Drosophila melanogaster: one gene and its partners. The protein of the gene in region 2 interacts with the protein of the main gene of each other region in a pairwise test. Each region holds a gene or a part of one and is shown on either strand. Other genes may lie near its edges. The genes, in order: vvl, D, pdm2 and vnd.

Evidence for each region.
Region 1: the proteins of D (region 2) and vvl interact in a two-hybrid assay, tested with the Drosophila melanogaster proteins (one study listed by BioGRID).
Region 3: the proteins of D (region 2) and pdm2 interact in a two-hybrid assay, tested with the Drosophila melanogaster proteins (one study listed by BioGRID).
Region 4: the proteins of D (region 2) and vnd interact in a two-hybrid assay, tested with the Drosophila melanogaster proteins (one study listed by BioGRID).

The regions. Positions count from the first base shown.
Region 1 is NT_037436.4:6,787,807-6,796,616, reverse strand, and holds vvl (ventral veins lacking), read right to left. Parts: upstream 6,460-8,810; 5' UTR 5,792-6,459; coding exon 4,508-5,791; coding exon of another isoform or gene 3,563-4,507; 3' UTR 1,676-3,562; downstream 1-1,675. UniProt on the Drosophila melanogaster protein: Binds to a DNA sequence element required for the expression of the dopa decarboxylase gene (Ddc) in specific dopaminergic neurons. Could also play an early role in specific ectodermal cells, and a subsequent role in the embryonic nervous system.
Region 2 is NT_037436.4:14,173,462-14,180,152, forward strand, and holds D (dichaete), read right to left. Parts: upstream 5,160-6,691; 5' UTR 5,108-5,159; intron 5,032-5,107; 5' UTR 3,878-5,031; coding exon 2,729-3,877; 3' UTR 2,149-2,728; downstream 1-2,148. UniProt on the Drosophila melanogaster protein: Essential for segmentation and CNS development. May modulate the actions of other transcription factors, including gap and pair-rule proteins.
Region 3 is NT_033779.5:12,654,109-12,660,629, reverse strand, and holds the start of pdm2 (POU domain protein 2), read right to left. Parts: upstream 3,466-6,521; 5' UTR 2,557-3,465; intron 379-2,556; 5' UTR 165-378; coding exon 1-164. UniProt on the Drosophila melanogaster protein: DNA-binding regulatory protein implicated in early development. Involved in neuronal cell fate decision. May act as an octamer-dependent activator of transcription.
Region 4 is NC_004354.4:588,283-597,601, reverse strand, and holds the start of vnd (ventral nervous system defective), read right to left. Parts: upstream 6,561-9,319; 5' UTR 6,208-6,560; coding exon 5,651-6,207; intron 3,955-5,650; coding exon 3,296-3,954; intron 1,247-3,295; coding exon 291-1,246; 3' UTR 1-290. UniProt on the Drosophila melanogaster protein: Probable transcriptional regulator involved in the regulation of the proneural AS-C genes and the neurogenic genes of the enhancer of split complex. Could specifically activate proneural genes in the ventral-most neuroectoderm.

The DNA of each region.
Region 1 (8,810 bases), 7.4 Mb from region 2:
TTAAATACAGCAAATCCATTAGCCATGATTAATCAGTCAGGAATTTCCCCCAATTTCTTTTGGACAATCCTTCGAAAATCCCATAAATTCTTAAAGCGCATTTCAACTAGCACATGACCATTAAAAAAAAAACCTTTCCTTTCCGTTTTCCATATAAAAGTTTATATAGCCCGAGGGGCAGGTTTCATCTACACGAGTGGGTGTGTGCGTGTGTGTGTGTGTGTTCAACTACCCCAAAATGGCAGGTGGCAATAGATAAACGTATAAATAGGCTTGTGGGCAGCCATGTTGTTTCCCCATTAAATTTCATTTCATTTCGCCGTCTATTATTTCTTTTTTTTTGTTAGAAAATAATTAAGAGAGCATAGAGAATAATTATATGGGTGGATAATATAATACTGTCGATATTATATTGTTCAAGTGCATGAAGCGCATCGCGTGGGTGTTTTTGCTTAGTTTGGTGCGGAAAATATAATTTTCATTTTTATTTTTCATTTTCCGTACGCTTTATTGAAACATTATAAACCACGCGCGCCAAGAGTTCAATTTCAACAAAAATAACAACCGATATTTTCGTTTTGTTTAAACGGCATTATTGCCGTCGCATAAATATAAATCATTGCACTTGCGCTTCTGTACAATATATATTATTGTTATTATTTGTTATTTGTTACTGTTATTGTTTTTGGGGCAGTTGTTGTTTATATATTTAAGCCTAAAACTGGCTTTCAATTATGCGAATTTATTTCGCACACAAAAGCGAGTGAGAGGGCTCGGGTTATACGAGTATGTATGTATATGTATTTTTCGGGCTGATGCAATTTTTATGCAGAATTACTAACCAATAGCATTTCGGCACAAAATTGTTAATCAGCATCCAATGAAATATGCATTTAAATTATAAATTAAATGTTAAAAGCGTGCGGTACATTAGATGACAATAAGGCGGCCAGGGGGCAATGTGCAGGTGGAATGAGACGACTTTAATGGTATTTCATGAATTTGTTTTTCATTTTTGGAAACAACTTAAATTGTTAAAAATTTAAGGACTTAAACATAATACTAATACCTTGACGAATTGGGAAGTTTTGAATGATTTCTGCAAACGAAAAATACACCCAACTTATTTCGTAAATTAAATTGACCGCGTAAATCTGGCAAATTGTCACTTTAATCGCCTTTCGATTGACGTCGGTGCTCTTTTTGTTTTGTTCAACGATTGCGCATTGACCAGGGACAAACAGAGATCCATCAGGTGCTTCCAGCAGCACTTAAGGCCTTATAAAAGGGTAATTTCACGAAATGCCACGCTTTTTAATGGCAACTTTCATTAACGAGCGGTATTACTCGATCTGCGAGTTGTGTTGTTAGTTAATTGCCAATTGCTCCCTCTCTGACGTAGGCAATCACATTATAATGTGCCCACTTAATTATTTAATGGCTTTTCGAACACTTTAAGCAAACAAACGAAATTAATAATACACGCAATTATCGCGATTTCATCGATATAAACGCCCTATCGTAACCAGCATCTGCAAAAGGTGGCCGTAAAACTCCTGTAAAACTGTCAAAACCAACGACTCATAAACTTCACAACCAAAAAGCGGACGAAAGTAAATGCAAATAAATGATGCCGCTAATTAAATAATAATAAAAGGACGGTGCGTTTTTTTTTCGAATAATATTCTTTTTTATTTGTTTTTTTTTAAGAGTTTTTTTTTGCTTTTCAGTTTTTTCTTCTTGGTTTTCCTCGGTGTGTGGGTGTGTGTATGTGTAGGTGGAAATGCACCGCTTTGTTGACTTTGCTGTTGCATATATATGTACGTCTATATAATTTATTATACAGTTGAGGGCATGGCTTAATCTTAAATATTCGGCTTCGCTTCTCTCGCTCTTACAGCATAGTTTTCAACATACCAAAACAAAGTACACTAAACAAAAATTTCGTTAGATTCTATAATATATAAAGTTACACCAAAGGATAAGGTTTGATTTTCTTTTTAGGTTTTTGTATAAGAAAATAGAAAAAGTAGACATAAATGTAAACGTATATCAAAAAACACAAAGATGATTTTTTTTACACAATTTTCGTTTATTTTTGTTTTTGAAATAATTTCAAGTTTGTCGTTTAGCATTTAGTTTGCCTTTTGTTTTAATGTACATCAATTAATATATTACAATTTAGCATTTGTGGTATTTGATTATTATTGGTTTGTTTAAATTTTAAGATTTAGCTATATTCATTTTTGTTTTCCATTCGATTTCCTTTTGCTTATATAGAAAGTACAGTACTAAGTAACTAAACTTCACGTGCCTATTCATTAAAAATTACCGCCTAAAAATTAAAATTTATATTTTGTAAATGTTGTTTATTTTTTTTTCGCTTGTGGTTGTATTTTTAATGATTTTTCTCTTAGGGGGGCTTATTAAAAAATCTACAATTGCATTTAAAGCTAAAAAATATGACTTAACTGTAAGTTTTTATTTACAGATGTTTTGGGGTTTTCTCATATTTTACTTAATCCTTCCTTCATCTCGTATTTTTGTTTACTTCGCCGCGCGTTAAATTCTACGTTTTTCTTTTTCTGTTTTACGTTCTGTTCGTTTATAGATGTTTTAGAGTACAATCTACTGGCTATATATATATAATATATATAAACACGGCTTGCTTAAGAACCTAGACCCTATCTAGAACCCACCGAGTTCTCCCACCGCTGCCTTCTTTCTCATTGAGCCTTTTTTTTACTTGATCTAAACGGCGACAAAGTGTTGAACGAAAAAATATTTTGTGGACTTTTGGGCATGGAAACATTTACCTTGCTTATGGAGAGCAGCTGAGGAATTTGTTTTCTTTGCTTGTCTTTTTTGGTTTCTTTAACACTTGGGTCGCACTTTTAACTAGTTTCTCTGTTTTTTTTATTTTCATTTAGTTTAATTTTTTAGCATTTAGTTTTTAGGTTAAAACAACATCACTTGGTTTCACGTTTGATTTGAATTGCGTGTTTCTTTCGCTTTTATACAAAGGAAATGTTTCGTTTACATTTTAATTTAGTTAATTTGATTTAATTTAAGCAAGTTTTTCAAACTTTAAAACAAACTAAAATGGTGGATGGCAGCCTCCCCATCTTCTCCACCTCCTCCACTCCCTGCTCCTATTTAAGCTGAAGTTTAACACAGATTAATGCACTGGTAAAAAAGATGATTTCTCAACCTCATCGACGGACCTCATCTTATTTCTATTCTTTAAAGATTTGCATACAGTCGAGCTTGTCTAACGTGGAACTCAATATGGTTCATATTGTTTAAGTATATATGTTTAAAATGATTTTTTTCAGTCGCCAATTTAGTAACAGATTTTAAGAACACTGTGAAATGCTATTTTCAAATTTTAAAAAACCTCAAAACACCGCAGAAATAAAATATTGAAAAATTTCAAAAATATTCTTATGACTTACGAAATATTCTGAAATGCTCACAGCTAGTTAAATTTTAGATAGCTACTTTTGCGATCATTCGAATCGAACCAACTGAGTTCGCGTTAGAGAAGTTCGACTGTACGATTCTAGGGCTGCTCCCGCTTGAAATGCGGCCACCCATTCGACGCCGAATCCTAGGAGGACTCATAGCCGAACCAGGCGGCCGACGAATGCTATTCGCCACCCGCTCCGCCCGCCCCGCCAAAGCTGTTAAAGTGCCGTACCGCTCCCGGTGCCGCCGCCGCTCCAAACTGCAGACTCAACTCGAAGAGTCGGCGGGCGTGGAGCTGCTGCTGCTGCTGCTGGTGGTGGTGGTGCTGCTGGTGATGGTGGTGCTGATAGTGGTGGTGCTGGTGCAGCGGATTCAGATTGAGATGGCCACCAAGCACCGAGGATGCGGATCCGGCCGGCGAGGCGGAACTGGGCGGCTGGAGTGGCAGGCCACTGTTGCTGCCGGCACCCGGTGACAATTGGGAGTTGCTGCTGGTGCCGCCGACGGTCTGCTGCTGCGAGTGCTGCAACTGATCGCTCGTGTGGAACAGGTGCGGATGGTGGGCGGGATTCAGGTGCGGATGCTGGTGCGGATGCGGATGCGGGTGGTGCGGATGCTGGTAGCGCATGGGATCCATGTACATGGCGGCTGCTGCAGCGGCTGCTATGCTGGATGCCTGCTGTTGTTGCTGTTGCTGCTGGTGGTGTTTAACTTGCTCCTCGTTGTTATTGTTATTATTGTTATTGTTGGTGCTGCTATTGTTGTTGTTATTATTATTATTATTGTTGTTAGCCTGATTGCCAGCGGAGGAGCTGCCCAGCGGACTCTGCGGCGACATCACCTGGCTGGTCATCGTAGCCGATGATCCCGCACTGGAGGATGGTGTATTCGGTGTGTGCTGCTGCTGCTGATGTTGCTGCTGTTGCTGGTGTTGCTGCTGCTGCTGTTGCTGCTGCTGCTGTTGCTGCTGGCTTAGACTATTGAGGGATGCAGGAGTGGACGCAGCTGCAGCTGAGTTCGACTCCTGGATTTCTGATTGCTAGTGGGCCGCCAACTGATGCGCCGCTACCGCCGAGGATTGCATATTCTGTGGGCTCAGCATGGGCGGACTGTGCGAGTGGGAGTGTGTGCCCATCGGACTGCCGTGCATATCGTGATGCGGATGATAGCCACCATGATGCATATGGCCCGGCGGCATGCCGTCCATCATGTCGCCGCCGAGCGTATTTGGCGGCGTCATGCGCTTCTCCTTCTGCCGCCGATTGCAGAACCACACGCGTACCACCTCCTTCTCCAGCTGCAAGGAGTCGGCCAACGAGGTTATCTCCTGGGCGGATGGCTTCGGCTGCTTGTGGAAGTGCTGCTCCAGTGCCCCCTTCACGCTCACCTCGATGCTGGTGCGTTTCTTGCGCTTACGCCCCTGAGCGGCGATCTTGTCAATGGACGTGGGTGAACCCGTTGTGGAGTCCGCCTCCTCCAGCCACTTCTGCAGCAGCGGCTTCAGCTTGCACATGTTCTTGAAGCTCAGCTGCAGTGCCTCGAATCTGCAGATGGTCGTCTGGGAGAACACATTGCCATAGAGAGTGCCCAGTGCCAGGCCCACATCGGCCTGGGTAAAGCCCAGCTTGATTCGGCGCTGCTTGAACTGCTTGGCAAAGGCCTCCAGATCATCGGACGTGGGAGTGTCCTCCTCGCCGCCGCTTATGGCATCCCGATCGCCGCCGCCCATGTGATGGTGTATGTGCAGCTGTGGCGATTCCCCGCGCAGCGTATGATGCAGTGGCGCCACACTCTGATGATGGGCCGCTGCAACCGCATGGGCCGGATGATGGAGCATTCCGTTCATGGCATGATGGTACTGCAACGGTGACCCGCCCGTTGGCGCATAGTGTCCCGCATGGGGGGCATGCCAGGCGGCATGGGGCGAGGCCATGCCCTGTTGGATGCGCGTCTGCTGCGAGAGATGCGACATCTCCTGCTTGACGGTATCAGCGGCCGAGGCAACGGCAGCGGCGGCGGGCAGATGGTGCGTATGATGGGTTTGCATCCACGGATCCGGATGGAGGGCACTCCATGAGCCCAACCCGGAACCGGAACCCAATCCAAGTCCGCCACCATTGCCCTGGCCATTGGGCGATGGCGACGAGGGCAACTGATGGTGGGCAGCTGCCGCGGCAGCGGCATGATGATGATGATGGTGCTGCATGTACTTCATTTCACCGGCATCAGCCGCCGAGCGCGGCGACGAGGTGTGATAGCCACCGCCTCCGAGGGCCATGTCCAGATCACCGCTCGGCGGCGTCATGTACGAGGTCGCGGCCATCCCCACCGCTCTGGGGCTGTTCAGGCCCTCCACGCTGGCGGGGTAGGGCTCCAAGTTGGGGCTCAGTTTAACGACTTTGTACACCGATCGATCGAAAGGAAGACCAGGGTCCCTATGCTCATTCCACTCGAACCGTGAGGCAACCGTCTTGACGTCTTTTACGGGCAACGTGGCAGGCGCAAAAATATTCTATTTCGCTTATTTTGTTTTTTTTTGGGTTCGACGTTTGCTTTTTTGGGGGCGTGGCCCTCGAACGCGTTCAACAAGTTTATTTCAGCTTTGGGTTAAGTAAAAAATCCGACGGCAATTTGCTTGGGGTTTCACGTTTATTTAGCTTGACTAGCGTTGAGCTAACTGCGTTTTATTTGGTTATTTATTTAGATTTTTTTATTTTCGAATTTCATTTAGCACTTCTAACACTTGGCACTTTTTGTGGCGATTTTTCGCAACGATTTAAATCATCGATAGAACTCAGTGGTCAGAACGCAGAACTCTGATATTCAGATACAGATTGAGATTTCTCGAATGTGTGTTTCTACTGGGTTGCTTGACCGATTCGATGCCGATTGAGATTTGAGATTGTGTGTTGTGAGATTTGAGCAGTCAAGACAGCCGAGAGCCCAGGGAAAATTCACGTGCAGACTCGTAGAGCTATCGAAGTGAACTAACGTCATGTCTCGCACCGCAGCTCTACGTTGAGCGCTCTCGACGCTCGGCGGTACGTCACACCGATACGTTTACGCACACCAACGAGCGCAGTACGCACACACACCCCGGCGAGCGAAACCAGTTTGTCCGCTGGCCTTCCAGCGTTCCATGTGTGCGAGCAGCACCGCCATTGGTGCGGCAAGCGAGATAGACGCTCTACCGAGCAACTGGAAGGGAGACTTGCGCTCTATTGGGCTCGCTGTATTCCAGCGTTACGCCCCCAAAACCAACAAAAACAAAAAAAATATATGAGATGAAAAAATAATACCAGAGCCGGCTCTACGAAGTTCCCTCAGTGCATTCCCATGCAGAGTGACATTTTTAATTGCCCAGTGCCCAGTGCGAGCGAGAGAGGGCGAGAGATGATATGAACGGCGACGGCGCATCTCTCGATTTCTTCGAGTCCAGCTATCGGGAACACAGGGATTACACGTAGTGCCATCTCCCAGTTGGAGCTTTTGCGTCCAGGACTTCTCTCTCCCGTTCGGGGAGCTTTGTTTCAGTTCCTTGCAGCTCCTTGGCCAGACAACTTTTCCCTTGGCTTTGTGAGTGTGTGTGTTTGTTTGGGAGGGGGGACATCTGGAGTGGTTGCCATTGCGATTTGAAGAACATATTACTAACGTGGCGTAGAAAAGGAATTAAACAAATAAACAGTTTAAATATTTAACTATTTATCGTTCATCCAAAAAAGTGTGCATAGTAAAAATATTTAAGAGCAAATAATATTTGATTATCAATATGAAAAATAAATAAATCTTGAACTTGAATTTGGACAATTCAAATTTCGCTGAATTCTGTTGAAAATATTTTTTATATAGACCGTGTCCCATTAAATATTTAACCAATGTGTTATATAAGAAAATCTTATTTGTATTTTTTCAGTTTATAATATGTGTGAGTGAAGCTTAATTAAATTAAAGAAAGTAAATTAGTGTTTAGTATGAAATGATATTTAAAATTTTCGTTTAAAAAAATAACCATTTTACCGATGAATATTTTATAATTTTCTTTTTCATATGCATATAAGTTTCGTTTGGCTGCCTACATAAAATATACCTTTCTTTTCCACCTTGATATCTTTCTTTTGCTCATTGTGTTTGTGACTGTGTTTTGACTGCTTTACAGTTAAATTATGTTTCACTGACAAAAGATATTGATTCACTTCATCCGTCAGTTTCATTGATTCTATGATCAGTTTTGCGAAATTAATGCGAAACTAGCGATACATTTGCATAGCTAAAGGAATTGCCATCGTTAAAGTTATCATTGGAATACTGACTTTTGTTTCTGGCTGTGCAGTTTTAAAGTTTTTTGATTTAGCGGAGCGTTATGGGACAATGCGAAGAATCAAATGAAAAATATCCGTAAAAGTTTATGTTTCCTAAAACAATGAATGAATGAAACTCTGCACACAATCAATGGAAATCTATTTCGCCTTCAAAGCCAATTGCCGTCAAATGTATATATGCAGACATAAAATAGCTTATTTAACCAAATTTACCTTTCTAAAAAAAAAATTACTTATTATTTTCCCACTATTTCCCTTAAATATGTCAACATATATTCAGAATTTTCCCACTTAAAAAATATATTTAATTAATGCATAAAATGTTCAAAGCTACCCTCTCATATATTTTCTCATTTAATAAATCCTGGCACACATAACTAGCCCAAGAATCCCATAAACACCCACCACAAAATACTTAGCATAGTTTTAGACCCCTTTGAGGCAGGTCAAGAGCTCAATCAAAAAATTATGCAAACTAAGGTCATCCAGCCGAGCAGACGCAAGCCAGACAAGTTCGAGCGTATTTGCATGAAATTTGTTTACGTTTTTTTTTCCATGACCATATCCTTTGGCCACGCACTTGGGCATAATTAATAAGCCAAGCGTTTCCAACCCAAAAACCCCAGTGACAAAATAAAGTCACAGTCATTGTTGGTCCTTAGACAAAAATTTACATGATAATTAGGTGGCGGCGCTAAATAACAACAGCGAGTGAGTAAAAAACAAAAAACAAAAAAAAAACGCTGGTATTTAAATTTCAAATGTCGAAGCGAAGGAAGAAATCCTGTTTCTGCTGGCCATCCTCCCTCGGTGATTCTGTCACTTTTTTCTGCTTTACGTTTTTTTGTCCATATGCTAAATGCGCACGCGCCGCGTTTTTGGTTTTTGTGGCCAGCAAAGGACTTGTTGCATAATTATGCGCCGCATGCGAGTAAATAAAAAACGATGCGATGGTAAAAAATGAGCAGGAAAATATACATATATATATACAACTAAGCGCTGCGTTTATGAATGGAAGATATC
Region 2 (6,691 bases):
AACAACAACCCAAACAGACAGCGCTAGAAGCATAAAAATCTCGCGACATTTCGCACACTCCTTTCTGCGGACCGGACGCTAATCCCCGGTCATAAAGTCGTAAAAAAATCGAAGCAACCGGGAGGCTGCAAATTATATTTGTATACAGACGTGACCAAATGGGACGAAAGGCGTGGCTTTTGGGAGTAGGAGGCGTAGGCGAGATGGGTCGTAAAACGTTCTCGACAATCCTTAAAAACCCAACGAGTTGAAATGGAATTTCAATTATTCGTGCATCATTTTTTTTGGATGAAATGTTTAAACTATGGATCAGGAAGGCGTGAGCGGGCTTATGTTTTAAGCTTGGCTTAGTCGGATGGATGGATTGGGCGTTTAGCGAAAGTTAATCACTTCCGTTTGGGTTCGGCAAAGGCAACATCCGATATTTGATCATAGATTGTTTTAATGGCTGATTATGGTTGTAACTAGTTTTATGATCAGAATGTTATGATGCGAAAAATGGCATAAAATTTAACTTGTAAGATTCAAAGTAGTTACGAAATATAATGTAATAAAGTAGAATAATAAAATACAATATGTTACTTCAGCAGCGCGAATTCTTGAGCCGCTATTATCTAAAGGATGTCAAATTAAAATGCAATTTTTAAAATGCGGATGCCGTTCTTTTAATTGATATTTATTATTTACAAAATCTGTAATAGTTTCTAGATTTGAAAAATAGTTATCCAATCAAAATACTATAAAAACCTCTTTCCTTACAATACAAATGTATTGTTGAACCCTTTGGAAGCCTTTACCGCTGTGCACACAAAGTAATGTTCCAAAGAGCTAAGCCAGAAGAATCCAATTTTTATATAATTATTCAATATCACGTCAATGCTGGGTAAATATTTGTTTGCAGAGCAAACGGAGAATGGAGAAACAAGGCATGGAAAAAAGACCAATATCAACAATACGCATAATAACAACAATAATCAATATTTGATATTTTAACACATTTGACATACAACGTGGAAAACGAAGGGGAGCGGGGCAGAGGGCATTGAATAGACTCCCAAAGACTTGAAAACGGCAATCGAAGAGTCAGAGTTCGGGGGAAGACAATGCAAGTGGATTTATTAATGACCGCAATTATTCTTATTATTATTACGAAAAGAAGCTAAAAATCAAAACGGAAAAACACGCGTTGATTTCTTTCGCCAGGGTATTCAGTTACACTCCGAATAGTGAGGTCTTAGAGGGCCCAGGCCCCCCGTTGATCCCGAAAAAAAAACACAATGTGACCCCCATCCAAAGAGCGAAGAGACGACCTTTTGTTCAAACTATCGAATTCTGTCTTGGAGGCGCAAAATAAACAGCGCATTAATCAATAGAAATTAATACACAACGGCAAATAGTTGTATAATGGCAAATCAAATTTAGTTTTTTCATCTCTTCCCAGCGGGTGTAAACTAACCAACAAAAACTCACACAGAAATGAGCGAAATAATAGTAAAGACACCCAGAGACAAGGTTAATTTGATCAGAAACGGGATAGGACTTTGATATTAAACGAATACTACTCACAAAACAGAAAAATTCATACCCATTATTAGGTGATGATGAAATGATTGTTTTTAAGCTTTATCCGAATGACTCACTCAATCCAGTTGAGAATATTATGTTAATGGTCTTATGAATATTCAAATTCGTTATTAATTTCGTTGATAATTTTGATGCATGCTCAGAGCACGACCCTGTATAATCTTAAAGGTTATGAAAAATACAGACACAAATTCGAATTTAAATATGATAATCCAATTATGGAGTATAAAATATAATCAGCTGAAAAATTTAAGTCACATATAGCTTGGGCATATGTTTAAAGTAAATTTATAACATAACTGTAAAATGTGGTATGCTGGCTAAGAAAATGGGAAATGCATTCTATTAAAGGCTTAAAATTATCTTTTTTGTTTTTCAGCTTTTTCCCGGTATATATATATATATGATAACTTCGTCTGATTCCAGTCACAACAACTCTACCTATGTCTTTAATGTGATTACATTTGGTAGAGAATCATCATCATTCATTTCAAAACCAATTGCCAGTTTCACATCTTCCAAGCTGTAAATTATTTGAAATAGAATAAACAGGTTTTCAAATTTGGTTTTCTCAAATCATTTTGTTTTTATTCACTTTTAAATGTCTTTGTTTTGTGTTGGCCTTCATGAACCATTATTCGCTTAGATGATAACTTTTACAATACAATTAATAATACAATAATACATTGATGTACGTTCTTTCCTCGCATTTGGGGCTACACTGAGACTTTAACGAATAGTTGCAGGGATATTTACAATTTGAGAGGGTTAGACAATTAAAACTATAAGCTACATTTTAGGTAGGTGCTGATGCGAAAAAAAACAACAAGAAGGAGGCGCTCGCTCGATGCTTAAAACTAAATAAAATTAATTTACAATTAGGTTTATCTTTTTTAATTTTCTTTGCGGTATAGTGAGTGCGCTAAATAAATTATAATTTATAGTTTGTGTATTGGCTAGGAATGTTTTGTGTGTTCCCTCCTTACTCTCTAGATCTGAAGTGCGCGAAGATTGTACTAGAATTAAGCGGAGTGGTTTGGAGGATTGGCTTACTTAGAGCTTTTGAAGATTTAAAACCAGTGGATCACTTTGGGAATGCGTCAACAATTGTACTCTACTCTGTACTCTAACCTAAAACTCGACTCTAATAGAGCACCGGAACCGGTCGCCTCAGGGCACTGTCCATGGAACCATCCATACCATTTGGCGTGATGGTTCCGGGCGAAGATCCCGGCGAGGAGGTGGACGAGGATGGGTAGAGTCCGGCGGCATTGGCGGAGTGTGCGGCGTACAGCGAAGGTGCCGAGATGCCGGAATAAATGCCCGAGTAGAAGCTGCTCAGCGAGGTGGGCGGCAATTGGGGCGGGGCTTGTCCTTGCTGCTGACCCTGATTGTTGACCGCCGCCGCCGCCGCTGCCTGGGATTGATGCAATTTCGATAGAGCCAGTGGGTCAAATCCACCGAAGTACGGCACTGGATAACCCTGATCCAGATGGTGTGAGGGTGCAAAGTATGGCGGTAGTTGATGGAATGGATTGTAGCCTCCGGCTCCAGCTCCCGGTCCAGCTCCCAACTTCTGTTGACCCATGCCGCCGGCCTGCATCTGCAGTCCACCCTGGGGTCCAGCGGTCAGTGGGTTCTTGGGCTTGCGGCGTGGCCGGTACTTGTAGTCCGGGTGCTCCTTCATGTGCAGGGCCCTCAAGCGCTTGGCCTCATCGATGAATGGTCGTTTCTCCGACTCGGCCAGCAACTTCCACTCGGCACCCAGGCGCTTGGAGATCTCAGAGTTGTGCATCTTGGGGTTATCCTTGGCGATCTGACGACGCTGCAGGCGGGACCAGACCATGAACGCGTTCATTGGACGCTTGATGTGACCCTCTTGTCCCGGCGATGTGGCCAAACTGTGCATGCCGGCGGACTGGTGACCCGAACTGGAGTTGAGACCACTGCCATTGCTGCCCAGGCTGCTCTGGCTACCCAGACTGCCGGCGGATCCGATGGAACTGTTGGGCGACAAGGTCTGTTGGGCGGAGACCGCCTGGTGCATGTGGTGCGGGGTCATGTGACTGGACATGTGGTGACCCATGCCCGAGGATCCGTTCACACCCTGGCCGGCGGGTCCATTGGGCGATCCGCCCATGGCTGCCAGGCTTTGGGAGTAGTGCAGCACACGCTTGATATCCATGTCCATGCCGGGACTCAGCTGGAGCTGACTTTGCGGTGCGTAGTCCTCCAAGCCTTGGGCCTGACCCAAATGGAAACCGTAATTGGGGTGTGTCGATAAGGTGGCCATTCCAGCTATTTTGAACACTTTGTTTAACTTTTGCTTCTTTCAAGATCAACACTTCACTTTCTAGAACACAATATGTCTGTGGTTCAACTGTGATTTCTCAGATTTTTTCTTTGTCTCTATGTCAATTACTGTCTTGCTTTTGCTTCTGCTTTGCTCTTGCTTTGCTTCTGCTCGGATCGACTGCTTTTTTGTGACTGATTTCAGTAGTGTTCCAGTGCGGCCTACACGACTGCAGCCAAATCCCGTTTCTCTCGGAAGAGAGTTGAGCACGAAGTGCGAGCAACCCTCGCACCATTACCTTTACGTAAGCCACGTGGGTGCGAGCGGGATAGAGGCTGGGCTTCTTACCTGGGAGAGAGCTGCGCCGTCGTCGCGCTCTCACTCACACATAGCGTCTTCTCTCTTTCGTTTTGCGGCCCATTGTTCCACTGGCTTTGTTCCATTGGCTCCTTTATATCGGTTATAGTTGTTCGCCCATTGAGGGGTGTGTTCAATAGAGGAGCTCAATAGAGCCAAAAGCCAGGCAGCTCTCGTTCGGCTGTGCTTCGTGTTATTCGATTTAGCGACCCCAATCCTGTGGGGCAGGGGGAGCTCAAAGTACGGAGCGAGAGAGAGAAAGAGAGCCAGGGCGAGCGCGGGAGCACATTGATTTTCGCACAGTGGGCACACAATTTCCGTTATTGTTTGCACGGCGGCGTTGCACTTCCGCATCTCCTATGCAGTTAGAACGAGAGAGGGAGAGAACACAACTCTCTCCCCGCGTATGTGTGTGCGTGTTTGTTGGGCCAATCACAATGGGTCTTTGGTGTGAATTTTTGTCCATTGTGGGTGTCTGTGTTCTGCTATATACCGTTCTCTATGTGTACTCTGTAGTCAGTACTATGTGTGTGTGTGAAAGGACTTTTTAGTTTGTGAAAAGGACATGGAAACACGCTTTCCATTCTCTTGCCCCGCTCTCCATTCTCGCATTCTTTCATTTCGCTCGCCATTCTTCTCCATTCTTTTCCGTTCCCTTTTTGCCACTTCTTCCTGGCCGCTCCAGAAAGGATATTACTGCAATTATTTACTTATTTGGCCATAGAAAGAAGCCCACAAAGGAGCCAGTGGAAGTGAGGCAAATCTTCACCCAGATGCATGTAGAACGGTCCTCTGTGCTTTATTATAGAAAAGATGTTTTAGCCAGCTTTTCTTTTTGGTTTACCAAATAAGCAGTAGCAAAAGAAAACAAACCTTTTAATGTTGATTGAAAGGACAAGGGCAATCGAATAATTGACAATTAAATCTACCGCAAACTAATGTTTTTTTCATTCGTAACTAAAAGAGTTTCCCAAATAATAATAATAAGTTTTCAAATTCTTGTTAACACACATATTTACCTCTCTTTCGAAACGAAGACATAATTTATGGCTTTTGTGATGCAAAGATTGTAAGAGTTTAACATTGCTTCATTAAACAACATCTTGACCCCAAGAGCCGTTGTTTTAATAAAAATGTTTCTTTCAGGAATAAGGTTGCAATATTCTATTATATTTTTTAAAACTCCATAACCCCAAAAGTAAAACCATTCTCCCCTTTGAGCTTTTATCCCACCCTTCTCTTTGCCTTTCTCCTGCTCATGCACGCACCCACACAACGATGCACCAAAGCTTAGTGCAATTTCCAATTGCATTTACAAAGCTCTTATACCTGGCCCATAGCGTAAGAGCATAAAAAGCTTTCAGCGTTCGCAACGTTTCCGTTGTGTCTGCTTTCCCCAAAAAAGGAAGAAAGGACAACGTAGAACGGCAACAACAACGAATCTCAAATAATAATGAAAGCAAAAACTGTTGTACGTTGTGTAATGGAAAAAGTTTTGTCCGCGTCACATTTTTCTTTCTGAGTTTTCAGCATTTCACTTAGCAGACGAGGACACTAAGTGAGTGATAATAGCACACAGTGTAGGATGAATGCAGGATCCTGTTTCCTAAAATCGCTCCCCACCCACATGCGGCATAAATAATTGTTACATTTGTGATACAATTTATGATGAATTCCTTATTTTATATAAATAAATATTCTTTTAGAATCCAGTTAAAATAAGTGTAAAGAGTAAAACAAATAAGGATAAACGTTTTAAATTATTAGCACATATACTCTTTATGTGTTTTGCTATCAAATTCAATAAATAAATAAGCTAGCTGATGCATTTTTAATTTCATTTTTGCGGAATAGTGACAATCAAAATTGTCTTAAGAATATTGTTCAAATTAGTGGAAGTTGTAAAATAATTCATGATAAACTTCTAATACTCGTAGTTGGATAAATAAACTCTAAATATGTTTTCTGTCTAATTTAATAATTACTTAAGCTAATAATAGATTTTCTTTCTTTGTTATGGTGCCGTGCAAACTGAAAAACATTTTATTTATCAGATATTTATCTGATAAAAATCTATCAGTATAAATACAGTATCAGAGTGCAGTTGAAAATTAAATAAATGTAAATTTAATTTGATCGCATAATGGCAGGTGAGAGATGAGTCAAGTTGTGCCGTGATTACTATTATTCGAATACAATATTAACCATTATCCTGTCGCCAGAAATCACCCTCACCGCTTAACCCATTCGAAATTCACCGATTCTCCGCGGTGAAAGAGAAAGACTCGCGTTTTATTGTTCGTTCCTGCATTGTTGTTGTTTTCGATTGTTGATTGTTGTTGTTTTCATTCAATTGTCATTTGGGGAGCTGGTTTCATTTTTATTTGTTGTATTCCGCAAATATAATTTTTGTCATTCATTCTTTTTTAATTAAATTCAGGAACAATCGCGCAAATG
Region 3 (6,521 bases), on a different chromosome or scaffold from region 2:
GTTGCTGCTGTCGGCGAAGTCAGCAACATGGTTGCTGTTGCTGCTGCTGCTGCAGTTGCGGCTGCTTTTGCTGTTGCTGCTGCTGCTGCTGTCTCTGTTGCTGTTGTGCTCAAGTGTTGATGATGGGAATTGTTGGCAAGTGTTGTTGCCAGCAGTAATGGCATAGTTGTTGCTGCTGCTGCTGATGCTGCTGCTCTTGTTGCCGCTGTTGCGTTGCAGTTCGTCAGCAGCAAATTGCGTCGCTTTGATTTATGGCCAACTCAACTGCTCCTTGCTGCCTGTGGCGACTTGTTTGCCGCTCCGGTTGCTGCCTCAGATTATGATATTGACCCATGGACCGCTGGCGATATGTATTCCTCCTTCTGCCTCCTTTGCTGCCTGCAAATGGGTTGATAATTAAAAGTGTCTTCTTCGGCTGAAAGCCTAATTTGCTGTTAACTGCACTTTAAAAAGCTGTTATTAAATACATAGAGCGCTGTGATCTTTACGACTCGATAGCGGAAGTAATTGATTTTTCCCTTAAAATAACTGACCCATCCACATTCCTGTACACGTGACTTTTCACGTTACAGGTGGAAACAGTGGATTTGTTTGAAATCGAACGGATGTTTGTATACCTTATAACTGAGATTAATTAGTTTAGTTTATTAACTGGCTCATGAGTATATTGCATTGTCAGCCCATTCTGCGATTACAAGTTTGTATTTTGATAAAAAAATATATAAGGGTAAAAGTTTAAAAGTTAATATTCTCTTCTAAAAGGTAAATGTAAAGTAAGTTACTGATTAGAAGTTTTACTGTACCTAGCATTGAATGAAAATGTTAATATGTGAGAAACTATATCATTCAGTTAAATAATTACAGAAATTCCATACCACTCGAAAGTAAACATGTCATAAAAGTACATATCGCAATTTATATAGTTTAAATGTTTGCTCTTTTAAATTCGTTTATTGAGCAGTCCAAACATTTCTCTAAATTTTCCCATGGCCTGTCGAATCAGCTCCCACAAGTGAAAAGTGGTTGTATACAACTTTACAGCAGTAGACACCATAAAAGGCACTAAAACCTAAACTTTGTATTATTATGCAAACAAAAAATGGGAGAATGAAAATGGGCACATTTACCAAATGTGGTTTGAAACGAAATTGTTGTAAATTGAAAACAAATTGAAGTCAAATGAGATAAGGAGTGGGTGGGTGGGTGTCGAAAAATCACGGCAAAAGGCGATGAAATCAAAGGAAATAGAAATGGGAAATTAAACTACAAGCGCAACGATCAAATGCCCCGAACAACAAGTCAACTTGGCCAGATAAGATACGGTGCTGAAAAGTGCAAGTGCGTTTATGGAAATGGTTATTTACATACATTACCAAACGGGTTTATGTACATATGAGCCACGAAGAGGCGGGTCGGGGCAACTAACATTAATGGCACTTGTAAACAAATCAATTGAGTTGTCAGTATCGACGGCAAATTGGCCGCAACCAAAGTGCCACACGAAGATTGTTTATCAATTTTGCCAGTCGGTAAATTATGTTCTTTGCATGTCAGCAACCAATTGCCAGGAATCGATATATCTGCCGGTATGATCAAAGCGAACGCCGACTAAATGCAGTCACTTATTCCTCGGTGCTACTTTCAATAATTCCCAATCGGCACGGTAATTCCTTATTGGGCCGACAATATCGGGGCTTTCGCTATTTTTGTTTAACTTCATCTTGTTTTAAAATTAAACACAATTGCTTACTCCAATTGGAAACGTATCGCCGATCATATAATACCGAACATTGCCATTGTGTTTGTCTTCAATTTGGAATTTGTGTTTTCATAATTTTCTATTGGGTGTACACGGTTCGGTTGTAAAGATACGAGGGAACTTAGTTCGATGATGTGATTTGCCTGACTTTCGGTTGAGAAATTGTTTGTCGTGATTATCGATCGAATCATTGCCAGAAGTGGAATTGTAAAAAACCCATAAAAATATATATGTGGCACATCTAAGATAGGGTACACAAATCACAGAAGGTTTATGAAAAATATATGGAATGGAACAAATTTAGAAAAAGTTATTAAACTATCCTTTAAATCAAATACTATATTCAATATATATATATATATATTGCCTCATTTTGAAGATAATTGCTTGTTATTAATACATTTTGCATCTTAATTTGATCTAACCTTAAGATTTTCCATTGTTAAAGATTTGACCAGAACATGGTCACAATTTTGTTATGATTAGCTAAAGCCCGACCAAGATCTCTATGATGGATTCAGTTCGCCCGTCCAACTACCATAGTCAGCCATATCGGGACACTTGTTGGCCCTCAAACACATATGGCCAATTAAGGACGCTGAAATACGCGCAGACACTTGGGAAAGCTCATTAGGAATCTGACAGGCCAGAAGAAACAGTTCTGCCCTCTCTCTCTCTCTTGCGGCATCTGTATCATCCATCTGGCTGATCCATCGATCGCATTGAGTGTGGGCGTTACAAGACAAGCTCCTTGACACACTCAGTGGGTACAAAAGAAAAAAAAGAGTTAAACTCACTTGGGCTGGAAGATGGCGCACCTCCTTACTGGTTTTTCCTCTACTGGTTTTCGCCTGCTGTCACGAATTATAATTTAATTGTTTACTTTGCCACACTTTTATAAATTGTAATTGCCAACGAGAATGGCGACAGCTTCACGCCCTTTCTGCATTTTCTGTGGGCCGTCGAGGTGAGGTGAGGTGATCTCTGTCTTTTGGGACAATTCTCCGAGACACGCTTTTTGATTGACTTCCGACAAACGACTGACTTAAAAAAACGCGCAAGGAGATATGGGCAAAAAGTAAAAAGTGAAAAAAAAGCAGACTAAAGAAAAGAGAAAGAGCAAAAAGAAGCAAAGTTCGCGACGACTTCCGACGACGTCCGACGTATCCACAAAATGTCAAGCGAGTACAAAAAATACTTTTTTTTTATAGAAGATGTTGGAGAGAGTGAGTGAGTGTGAGTGTGCCAGTGTATTGGTCTGTTTGCGATGTGCCTCTGTGTGTGTGTGTGTGTCTGTGGGGGTGGGGAAAGGGAGCCATAAAACAGGTGGAGGGGGTGGTGCGTGGGTGTTTTGGGGCGTTTGACTTCGTTTTTCTTTCTCTTGCTTCTTTTTTTTTACAGGAGGTTTTAAAATGAAAAGCTTGTATTGTGTGGGTGGAAAATAGTACTGCATATGTGTGTGTGAGTGTTCTATATATGTATATATGGGTGGGTGGCTCTTATCGGATTCCGAATTATGTATGTATTGACTGCCGCTGCTTCTGTTCGTTGAGGGAAGAAATAATATGGGGGCTCCTAAGTTGATTTGTAGTTTAGAGCGGCATGAAAATTTCCTCTTGAAGGGAATTGAGAAGGAGAAGAGGAGTCAGGCTCATACGAGTAACCGAATAAGGGTATACAAGTAATTCAGTTTGCAAAATATAATAAAATATATTAAAATTCTTATTGATTCAAGTACTGTTTCTCATCATATGATTCATTATTTATTCGGCACAAGATACAAGATTTTTTGATTTTTTTATGGCCGCTTATATACCAAACCGTTTTCTTTCTTTTATAAAAATAATAAGTTTTATAAAATAAAACATATAATACTAAAGCAGATGATTTTATGGGCAAAACAGATTTAATTCCTTTCAAAATCAATGTTCCGACGGCATTGCACTTGCCAGAAATCACAACACAACTCGCGTTACGCATACGCCCCGTGGACAAGTCGGAATATCAGCGAATGAAAAATGAAAAAAATTGACATTGCAATGATGGCAGAACCGAGAATTATTCGCCGTGCTGTCAAAATGCGAATGTCAAGGCAAAAAACGAACCAAATGCAGACAGATAGCCAACAGAATCCGCTGAACGGCGGCAAAAGGCAAAAAGCGATAAACGCATAAATTAAAATAATTACAAGAGGCGTCCTCAGATTATTGTTGTTGCTGTCACGCACACACAGCTAGTTGAAAAAATAAACAAGAAAAGTCGCGAGGACGACAACCGACAATCGGCCAACGGAGTGGCAACTGAAAAACTGCAATTGAATGCAACTTGACCAGGCCAAAGCATCTAGAAGAAGAGCAGTACTAGCTGAATAAATGGAAGAAGAAGCACCACAAGCAACTGTAGTAACCATACACTTACAAAAATTATATAATATATATTCCAGTCATTTTCTATTGTACCATTTTAATATTTAACAGAAATAAACCTTAAATTCTATATTTTATCTTAACAAATATTCACAAACACGTCTTGGTATAACTTAATTTGGTTTTTATTGTTACTCTAAATAGAATATATTATAATTTATACATTTATATATAAAGGTTCTAAGCGTATTTTAAATACATTTCTTTTACAATTATAAGTAAATTTATAATGTTAATAGGCTTTTAATGAAATTGTATTATAACCAATATATAAAACTTTTCTAAGTGTAGAATCAGTTGATTTTTCTCGGCAACTTGGGATCCACATTGTTGCAACAACGTAGTTGTTGCCGCTGTTGTTGCTGTTGATTTTATTCAAAATGGTTTGTTTATGCCTGAACAGAAAGAGAACGCAAGAGAGAGAAAGTGCGGAGGGAGAGGTAGAAAATCTTGGGGAAATATATCCAACAAGCGCGCTCTCTCCCGCACAAACACACTCACCCAAAGTGGGCAGCCGGCAGCCAATCGGCATGGAGCTTTGGCGCTCTCTTGCGGCGCATGCTCGCTCTTCGTGGGGAGCTCTCTCCATTTCGCCGTTGGCCATTGTGTGTGCATGTGCGCGAATTCGCCGCGGCGTCCAGATGCTGCGGGTGAAAAAAAGAGAGCGAGAGGGCTTTTACCTTTTGACTGCTAATTTCCGTTCATTAAAGTTGGCAGTAGCTTGGCTCGCTCACTATTCTATATGTTCCACTCCCCCATGCCGCCCCCCCTCAGTAGTGAGTCCTTAAAGATATTTCGCCTTGGCCGCAGCTTTAATTTCATTGATTAGCGCCGAGGAAATTCCCTTCTTGGCCCTTTTATTTTTGGTTTGTCACTTCTATTCACTTGTCTGCCCGTCTGCTTGTGTTTTGGTTCCTCTGCAGCCTCCTTTACATCCTCTTTTCCACTATTCTTGTTTTGTAAGCATTTAAGTTGTCGCTGTTTCGAGATGCTTAAATCCAACTAATCGATGGGTTTCGTCTGAAAATGGTTTAGTTTGTGGGGGTAGGTTCTGAAGAGTATGACCCAACTATTCACGGAGTAACTATTTGGTAATCAAAAGATAGTTATGAAATAAAGAAGTTGGGGAAGAGTAAAACTGATGCGAGCGTACTTTTTGAAGATTTTACTTGCAGCACTTGTGTGTACAATAGGTGTACGTTCAAAAAACCTATATAAGGATAATTGGTAAATAATAAAAACTAAAAAATTCTTCTTATAAGCAGTAAAAATGTAATTTTCTTTATTGATATGAAAAAAATATTGTTTTTGTAGCTCTAATTCATATGTTCTCAGGTGTTTACTTGAATATTTAAAAAATGTTATTTTTACCATATGCAGAACCTAACTAACACGCTCGAAAAAGTAGACAACCACCTCTTGAACTGTGCCCTTAGTTCTTCCATTTGGTATTCCACATTCCGTATACGCCCCATAAAACTTGAAAAAATCGCCCAGCCCCAAAATTTCATCTGCCTTCCCTGGCTCATTTTTCATATTGAAGGGCGAGCACCTAAGGACCAACCAACAAAGCTAAGCTGACGGGTGCCTAAGTTATGGTTCCTGCCATATCATCCCCGCGTTCTGTGGAAACTTTTTAGAATTTTGCACTTTTCCTTTTTTTTTTGTGTCGTGTGCTCTTACATATCGCAAACATTTCCTGTCTCTTTTTATTTACATTACCCACCGAGGACGAGGCGACATAAAAGTTGAAAGTTTCCCATGATGTTTATGTGTATATAAATGCTTGCGGGCGGTATTTGTTGTATATAGGGAAACAAAGAGGAGAAATATTTTTTTTCCTTTCCTAAGGCTGTATTTCAACGGTATTCTTTTCGTATTTTTCGTTTCGCAGTTGTGACTTTTCATTTTTCATATGCTGACTGCCTCACGAGCAAACACACACATGCAGGCGGCACACACTTACACCAACACGCAAACGGTCCTTTTTCTCTTTCTCTCTGGGGCTCTTAGTTTTCCATCTCCCTTGGCTTTCCTACGTTGCCCAAGTAAATGGCTTTTGCATTGTAAAATGTTGCATACATTTTCCTCTACTTTGCCTTCGACGTGTACATATGTATATTGTACAAATATATAACCACGTATGGCTGGCATTTACCGTTATACACGGGTGAAGCAGGACAAAAGAAGCTCACACACACAAGGCTCGCCCTCTCACTCGCTCACCCAGTCCTGCCCATGGTATATTTTAAAATTTATGAAAAATAATATTTTTCCATCTCTCCACGCTCGCACACACACACACACACACTTGTGTATATATAGGAGCCCTGAAG
Region 4 (9,319 bases), on a different chromosome or scaffold from region 2:
ATGTAGCTTTCTTTTGTCATGGGCATTGGTCTGATATCCAGGAATGGATAAATTTATGTCATTTAGGTATATATATGATTATATATATGAACTATGTACAGAAACGACTCAAGGATAAGTCCGGGAGACTGAGCGCTAGTAGGGGTTTGTATGTGTTTCAATTATTATTGTATATTCTTTTACTTGGCTTCACTGGGAATCTGGAGGCGTGGTCTTCTGGCTCATCGCTCCACGGGCCTGACTATCCACCTATCCGCCCCCAGTCCCGTGAATGCCAGTTCCTAGCAATATTAGGGCCACCAGGCGGCCCTCTGGGCGTGGGCGTGTGGATGGCCGTGTCCGTGGGCGTGGGCATGAGCATGGGCGTGGGCGTGAAGGCCGGCAGCCGCTGCAGCGGCATGTTGATAGGCGGCCGCTCCATTTAGGGCAACCAAGTGATGGGCGGCGGCATTCTGCATGGCGGTGGCGGTGGCTGATGACACGGAGACGCAGTCGGCTCCCAGTTTGGAACTATCGCCCAAGCAGGGCTTTCCGTTCCTCACCAGAACTGGAACGGCTACCCGACGGGGCGATGGCAGGGCACTGGGGTGATGCGGATGGGTGGCATGGCCGTGCAGTAGACCAGGATGACCCTCGTAGCCCTTCTCGTTTTGCGCCCGCTTCGTCTTGTAGCGATGGTTTTGAAACCAGATCTTCACCTGGGTCGGCGTCAGGCGGATCAAACTGGCCAGGTGCTCGCGTTCCGGGGCACTCAAGTAACGTTGTTGTCGAAACCGACGTTCCAGCTCATATGTTTGCGCCTTGGTGAACAGGACTCGTCGCTTCCGTTTCTTATTTGGCAGACCGTCGGATCCATTTGCATCCCCGCCGCCACTGCCGTCGGCGTCGTCCACGTCGTCGATATCCTCCTCGATGCCATCTTCGTTGAGGCTATCGTCGTGACCACTGCCTGCTCCGTTGATCCCCTCGGCCTTCAGGCTGTGGTTATTGTTGTTTGTCGTATTATTATTGTTGTTGTGTAGGGCATGGGCCGTCGGAGCGCCTCCGGCACTTCCATTACCAGAGGATCCATGGAGGGTGTGCAGGGCGTCGCCCACGGATAGTGCATCGCTATCGGCCGACCGGCTGTAGCTCTTGTAATCGCCGGAAAGGGCAGGCGATGTCTGGCAGTTGGAACCAATGTAGGTGTACGACACTTCCGAGGTAACTGGGGAGGTGCTATCCGGACTGGCGGGCTGCTGGGTACCTGAAATCAAAGAGGAAATCAAGGTTTTGGTTAATGTGCTAATTCTTCGTAGTAGATATATGGCTAAAACCGGGAGAAAACTCCCTTCTTAATATGCTGCTAATTGAGGAATAAATTGCTTGGGATAGCCATTTATTTATTTGCATTTTTCACAATGGTCCTACAGAATGGAAAGGCAATGGCAGGGTGCGAGCCCTGGGTGGGAATTTGTCAGCAATTGAGAAACCTCTTTAGCCGTAAATTAATGTAGCGACACACCCCTCCACATCGTCCAAGTGATCATGCAGAATTCGGGACAAAAGGGGGAAGTCAGTATCGCAACTACGGCAATTGGATTAGGCGCAACATGAAGCTGTGGTCGGAAACGATCCAAATGTCAAATGCCAGATGTATGCACTCCTTATGGTCCGCAGCGTCAAATCAACCCCTGCCCATCCCCTACGAGCTTCACCCTAACAACGCCAATTAGGCGGAGACAAACAGAGATCGCACACAAATACATACAAAAATACATGCCTAGGTGGGTATTCCCTTGTCGTCTACCTGAAACGATCGCTTCGATCTCTCGCTGAATGACTGCTGATCCTGGGCCTGTACTAAAAACCAGCAACCAGGATACTAATGGGACAACGACACAAAAGCCAGACCTCAAACACATCAATGGTAGCCGGGTCTCTTCCGGTTCGCCCCCTTTCGCAAGAGTTCCGAACTTCCAACAGATAGTGATTTAGTGATTTATCGCCGGGTGTGGCTATTTCTGATATTCTGGGGCGGGATCTGCGGTTGCAGAGGTATTAGAAGTGGGCTTATGCCAGTATTCAGGCAACTTCAAACGAGGCATGTAACTATAGAAAATCAAAAAGAAGCCCTTTAGTTCTTCCTAGCTTTCGAACTTTTGGATATAGTGCTGCGAAGGCAGCATTCCAAAGAATCGGAACGCGTCCTATCTGCATTTCTATTCCTATTGCAATGTATTTCATAAAATGTCTTCTAATGTGTGTATTCACCTGCCCGGGGTGATGTCCCCGTGGGACATTGATAAAACAACAAATGCAAGGGTCGTAGGAGCTCCTAATGCTCGCCTATCAGCTCCCACCGAGCTAGCCGCATTTGCCCTGCCACGGAAGCCATGCGCTCACCATGACAACTCAACAAATTAATAACTTAATATAATCAAAATGACTCTTCCTCGACTCCTTCACAGCTGTGGAAACTCCCAAAAAAAGAGCAGAAAAGAGAAAATAAAAAAACGGCAAGTGGGCAGCAGCTATAATTTGTAGCTAAACAATAAAGGAATAATAACAGAAGTGGGAAGGGATGAGGCGGAAGTGCGTGCCATAAATTTCCAGGATGAGAAATGTTTGGGCCGCAACAACAAGAAGCGATCGAGCGGGCAGCGATTGAATGTCCTGGCCGAAGGACACGAAGGACGTCAACTGCCAGAAAAACAACAGGGCTAATCCTCAAGTGTGAAGCGCATACAAACTATTAGTCATGATTAAAGGGGAAGCCCAACCCCTGCTCCTTGATTCCCAGTTATATACCCATTTCGATCCGCAGTTAACTGCCAACGAAAATAAAACACAACAGGGCCAGAATTAAACAAAGCTTGTCACACCCTGGAAGCACGTGAATCCGTCGAGTCCACAGGGTATGCAAATACAGCTGCCTCATCGCTCGACTGCTTCAACTCTCTGGCTCTCGGGAGCAGTGAGTGGTTAGTTACGGAACAGTATCATTAGTCGGCCAGTTAATCGGGGGTTAAATGCAGTCGAAAATTGTAAATTTCTTAAAGGGAGCTTCCTGCGGACTTCATTGATGAGTCTATTTTGAAACCAAGTTAATTCGTTGCTCTTTTGCCTACCCACGATTCAAAAGGATATTTGTTTGGGATCCAAAGACTTGCTTACAACCTGCCATTTAAGTGTTGCTTCTTCAAAAAGCCAACTCTAACTTGGTTATTGATATGGCCAGGAGCTATCTCCTGGAAATGGAGCAAATGAAAATGGATACATGCGTATCCATTTATGAGTTGAAACATTCGCTCACCGTATAGCTCGTTCTCCTTGATCCACGCACTCCTGCCCGAGTGCTGCAGCATGGTTTGGGCCATGTGGTGGTACGAGGACATCTCGTCGCCAAAGCTCCCCGGGAAGTTCTTGGGCAGGTTGGGCAGATATTGGCCGGCGGCCACAGCAGCCGCAGCCGCTGCATTGTGGCTGGCCAGCAGATGGGCGGCGGCTGCATTGGCATGGGCGTGGCTTTGGGCTTCGCCGCTCTGATGGTGCGCCAAAGGGAGTGGGGCCACCGCCTGCTGATGGTGCTGCTGCGGGAGGAGGAGGTGAGGGTGGTGGTGCTGCTGGTGGTGCGGGTGCTGTTGCTGCGGATGGCTAGGAGGGGCGTGATGCTCGGTGGTGCTGTGGTGATCCGCTTCTCCCGCTCCTCCCCCAGTCCCGCTGCCATTGTGGTGCTCGTCCGCGGAAACGCCCGCTGGCGTGGGCGACAGCGCCGAAGGCGAGGTGTGAGATCCCTGGCCGCGATGTCCACTGGTGGACTCACTGGCCGAGTGGTGACTCAAATCGCTGCCATGGTGGGCGGCAGCAGCGGCGGCAGCTGCTGCATTCTTCAGCTCAGAGCCCTCCAAATTCAAGATGTCCGATATATGGAAGCCAGAGCGTTGGGACGACGGCACCTTTGCATCGAATAAGCTGCAAGGAGATCAATATGTTAATTCTAACTGAACTTCAACACTAAAAATTTGAGTTAAATGTTTATTTCTCATTTCAATTGAGCACTCGCCTACAGTTTTAAAGAAAAAAAGGCAAAAAGCATACCAAAGATGAGTTGTAATAGTTTTTCTTGAGATTCTGTGTAGTTTCTTAATTGTCCCGGCAAATTGTCATATAATCGAGTGATTAATGACTCCCCGAGTATAAAGATGGCTCCTTAGAGGACGTGGAACGATTTTTCCCTGTTTCATGCTTATTGCAGCGACATCCTGTGTCAATCGTGTGAATGGCCGGAAGGTTTAACAAAAGGAGGTCCCTGTTGGTCGGGATATGCAAAGGAAACTACCTGCACTACCTGTAGCGCTCTGACTTTCACAGATTTTTGCACTTGCCGTTGTTAAGAAGATAAGGAGGTGGGGGGTGTGCATCCTGCAGGCATGCTTCGGAACCGAAAACGCGCACATTTCCCCCGGAATTAACTTTGAATAAGTGCACCCAAATCGCTGGATTATTGACACCTAGTCCCGGTCAGACCCCGAGTTTTGATTTGCCTAATACCATCAACAATTAAACGCAAATCCGCCTCGTAAGGATCGCAGCTACCTGGTCGGGTCAGTGCAGGTCAGCACAGGTCAGCAGGGACTCTTTACGGGTCGAAACAGGTCGTGCCACATGTTGGCGCAAGTTTGCTTGCTTCCGGTTTTCCCATTTCGAGTTTTCCCGAAGACCCCGACTCGCGAATTTCCCACGCTATGGACAGGCTACACGGGCATTCCCCGTCCTCCTGAGCGGAAATCCCATTGCCAGACAGTGTGACGCCAGTATCTCGAAGGCATCTGAGTCCCATGTCTGTCGTACACATGTCATTCCCGATTGGGGTTTCCCTGGCTCTCACCTACGGGAATTTCTAAGCCAGGGTCGAACAACAAGCCAGAATTTCCCAACCGCCATTCGCCAGGACCTTGAGTACTTGCCAGATCAAAGAGGCGGGGAATTATACCCTGTGTCCTGTACTTGCGCGCTGTGCCCGCTTGGTTAATTTAAAGAGCTACCAGGATTAGCCGGACAAGTCCATCAGCTATATGGGATCTAAACACTAATATGGAGGCAGAGGCTCGCAGGGTGTGATTTTAAGTCGGAGCTTAGGCGAAGGCAATTGCAAAGTATGGCTGGTCTTGCGTATTCTGCAGATTCTGCTTTCAACGCCCAATCTTCCAAATTATTAGATTAGGAGAATTAATTAATGGTCTTGCGTATTCTGCAGATTCTGCTTTCAACGCCCAATCTTCCAAATTATTAGATTAGGAGAATTAATAGAAAGACATAGAAAATTAATCGGGAACCCAAAACCTTGAAAACCATATCTGTTTTTTACAAAGTGGTCAGCCATGAAAGGCAAACGTATTGTCGGTGGTCAGTAATTTTGTTTCAATCTGAGGCATGTCCTTATTATCCATATCTTGGCCAGATCCATGCCATCAAAGTGTTACCAATGCTTAAGCGTTTATAAATAGCCCACAAAACAGAGGTCATAATTAGAAGAACTAGAATGGACTTGTGTCAACGTATCACCAAAATATGCTTTTCGTAACCAAGACATATGAATCATAGGTTTGTGTTCACCACTCCAGAGGTATCAATGTTTTAATTATTCCATTGGAATCCTTGTGCTTACCCAGGCAAAGCGTTTCGCAGGGCCGCCGGATAAAAGGCGGCTGGTAGGAGGGCGTGGTTCCACGGCGGCAGCAGGATGGGCGACCAGGGCAGAAACGGGGCCGCTGCTGCGGCGGCCACAGCCGCCGACGATGGAAGCATAAGACTACTCATGCTGTGGAGCCCCGGAAATCCGCTGAAGGCGGCTGCACCCGTCGGAATGCGGAGCTGTTCGGGCGCCAATCCGGAACTGGAACTTGTGTTCGTGGGCACGGTGGTGCTGGCGGTGCTGAAGACTGCGGCGAATCTCTCGTGATCTCTGTCTCGCTCGTGCCGTTCCTGCCGCTCCTTGCGATCCTCCCGGTCCTCTCGATCCTCACGCTCCCTCTTCCGCTCCAGCGAGGGCGTTGAGGTGCGCAGCGGGCGCTTCGGCGTGGCTGGGGAGGACGGACTCACCGTGATAGCGCTTTGGGGCGATGCGGGCAAGCTGCCAGCGCTGCCCAGACCGCTGCTGTTGTCCCGCTCGCGATCTCGATCCCGCTTTGAGGGGGTCCTCTCCAAGGACGCCGACGTGGTCATATCGCTTTGCGATATCGGGGAACCACTGTTTGATTTACTACGCTGCGACGCGGGTGGCGGCGTGGGCGGACTTTTGCGTTTCTCCGCCACTTTGGAGCTTTTACGGTGTTCGGAGCACGGAAAAAAAATATGTTTATGTGTAGTTACTGGGTAGCACTGCGATGAATTAAGCGGGTATCCTGGTAGGGCAACTTAAATTCCAGACATAGTTCGATTTAGGCTTAAGTTTAAGTTTATCACCGGGAAAGTTCGATAGTTCAAGGGTCGCGAGTCGTTTCTCGATTTCTCAGTTGCACGGGTCCGCGGAGCAGCGCACTCTACACATTCCAAACTGAAGTGTCATCAACAACTAACGAGGCATCAAGAACTCAACACGAGTCCAAGTCGCTTCAGAACAGCCAATAACCAAAACCCAACAACCAACGGCAGAAAAGTACCAGGTCGTATGCTCGGGGTGTCTTTGGGTATCACTATGTATGTGGTGCATATCTGTATCTGCATCCCTCTGCCATTGGGTACATAACGCAGATACTCGGATAGTCGCACACACACACACACATACACAAACACACACACGCACACAGCCAGACTGGAGAGACTCTCGGCTTTGTTGGGCGCGCTAAGTGGCTTCTTATGTCCTTTTCAACAAGGATACGGCAACAATGTGAGTGGCCTATTCAACCACCGAGAGAACCAACCACCATTCGTCGCCAGAGCGAGACGTACGATGTGAACCGAGTCCTTATGCCGCACGTCATCCCGCTCTAACTCTTTCCTGTTGCTTTCTCTGCCGCTCTCAAGAGTGCCACTTGAGTGAGAGTGTGTGTGTGCTGCAGCCTCTGTGTATGTTTGCTTGTGTGTGCGCGAGAGTGAGTGTGGATGCGAGGCCATTGTAGCGCCTCACGAACCTCCTCAGGCACGTCGGATTGACGTTCCCAGATAGGGATTCTGGGATTGGGCCGTTCTCTTCCAGCAGTGCTCTGCACTTGATGTTGTCAGCATTCCCCGCGTCATTTAATTGTATTTATCATTATCAGCTCTCTGCAACTCTGGACTTCCGGAGCGGGAACATCAGCCCCGACTTGTGGCGCCTATGCGGTGGGTCCAAGGAGAGGACAGGACAGGGCAAGACATGCGATTGTGACCGGCATTTAGCACGATAATATCAGATGGTGATATCAGCCATTATCCTATTGAGGAACGAGGGCGATAAGAAAAATTTTCTGGAATTACGCTCTCGCCTTTTCTATATGTAGTTGGCTATTTAAGAATCAGATCAATTCATCATTTAAAATCCCAGTCGGGTTGTAATACTTTGAGATTTTGAGTACCAACCATGATTAGATCTGGGGAGGATTGATCACATATTTGTGATTTTATATTAGTCAGCAACGAAATCTTATTTTGAACCACGAACTATTATTTTAATACTTAAAAGGCGCACTGCGAAAACCCTTTTAAAGGCATTCTCACATTACCATACCGGTGAAAGAACGTTATTTTTGCGAAGGCATTATTTTCTTCTGCCGTGTTAGTGGTATGCTATTATACTTGGACATTTAGTTTACTTCACGGTACGTTCTTTGGGAATTGCAATAAATTTCTTGCGTGCAACGGAACTGTTATAGACCACTTTGGCACTGACATAGGGGCCTTATGTACAAGGAGTGTCGCTGTTCGTGCAATTTGAATTTCGATTTCATACTCGTAAGCCAACTCGTGATTAGTGCAGATCCTTCAAACGCCAATACATGGCGCCGTTCCTTGAGAGGTGGCTTCGGGACACACCCCGGACACTCACAGATAGGGAGAGTGCGAGCGAGGAGGTCGAAAGTAAAGTATGGGAATATACATAATCAGCACGAGCAGTAAACGACAGGACAGACTGAACTGGGGGTATCCGCCCGAGGCAATTGAAAACATGGCAAGAGTCCGTTGGGGCTGGCCCCATTTACATATGGGCTGGGGGCTATATACATATATCAGAATATGCATATACATATATATATATATATATATATATATATATATATATATAAATATATGTTGTGTATATGAAGGAAGCTCCATGATCCCTATCCACGAGCATCCGCCCTCTAAAAGTGGGCACCCCACTGTCGCTCATGACTTCGCACCATTATTCTCCCCATGGGGGAATGGAGGTGGTAAGTGGAGGGGGTAGAATTTTATCTTGTAATAACCTCTGCCGACGACGACGTCGCCGTCAAGTGGGCGCGTCATGGCCGCCTGGCCAATGGGAAGAGCGTGCGAGCAGGAGAGTTATACCGTGCGCACCGTGCGCTGACGCGCATGTTTGGGAAATTTTGGTTACGCCAAAGGACTTTTCGGGGAAATTTCTCCCATGTGCGCACGCCCATCTTCCCGGGCGTTCGTTGTTGGCCATTGTTATTGGGCTTAATAATGATGTTGCATTTAATATCAAAGTAAAACCTTTGTGTGCGTCGCCGTTGTTGTTATGGCTTAGCTTCCGCAGGAAGTTTTAGTATCTCATGGATTTATCTGTGTTTGTGTGGAGCGCTGGCATTCGAATTACACACGAATTCAATTCGATTCCCGCAAAAACTCGTTTGTTTTTTATTGCCCTCTGCTCCTTTATTTGTGTATTTATTTATTTTTGTATGCATGCTTCTGTATTTTCCGCACTTCAAACTACTTTGTTTGTGCTTATTTCTAAGTACAAACAACTTCAATTGTAGCTCTCGTCCTTGTCGTCCTCCTGCTCGGCCTTTAGGGATTTGGGCACTGCCTAGTTTATTTTTATTTTTTTGTGAATACATTTTCAATATATTTGCGTTGCAATGGGTGGAGGTCCACCGACAGCAGAGGGCTATTTGCGGCTGACATACATAAACAGCTATAGAGTTTATGAGAAAAGACAGCAAGATGTTTTCTTCAACTTAAAAGTGTCTACTTGACACTGACTCTCTTATATTTGTCGAAAACTTTTCATCGTCGAATGGTTTTAATTAGCTTGCACTTTGTGTTGCTAATTAGTCGCTGTTTCAATAGATTCTATATCAGTTATGTAAGTAGAAATTCAAAATTAAATGCTGGTTCATAAAAGTCCATCTGCTGGGATCTTTGGAGTCCG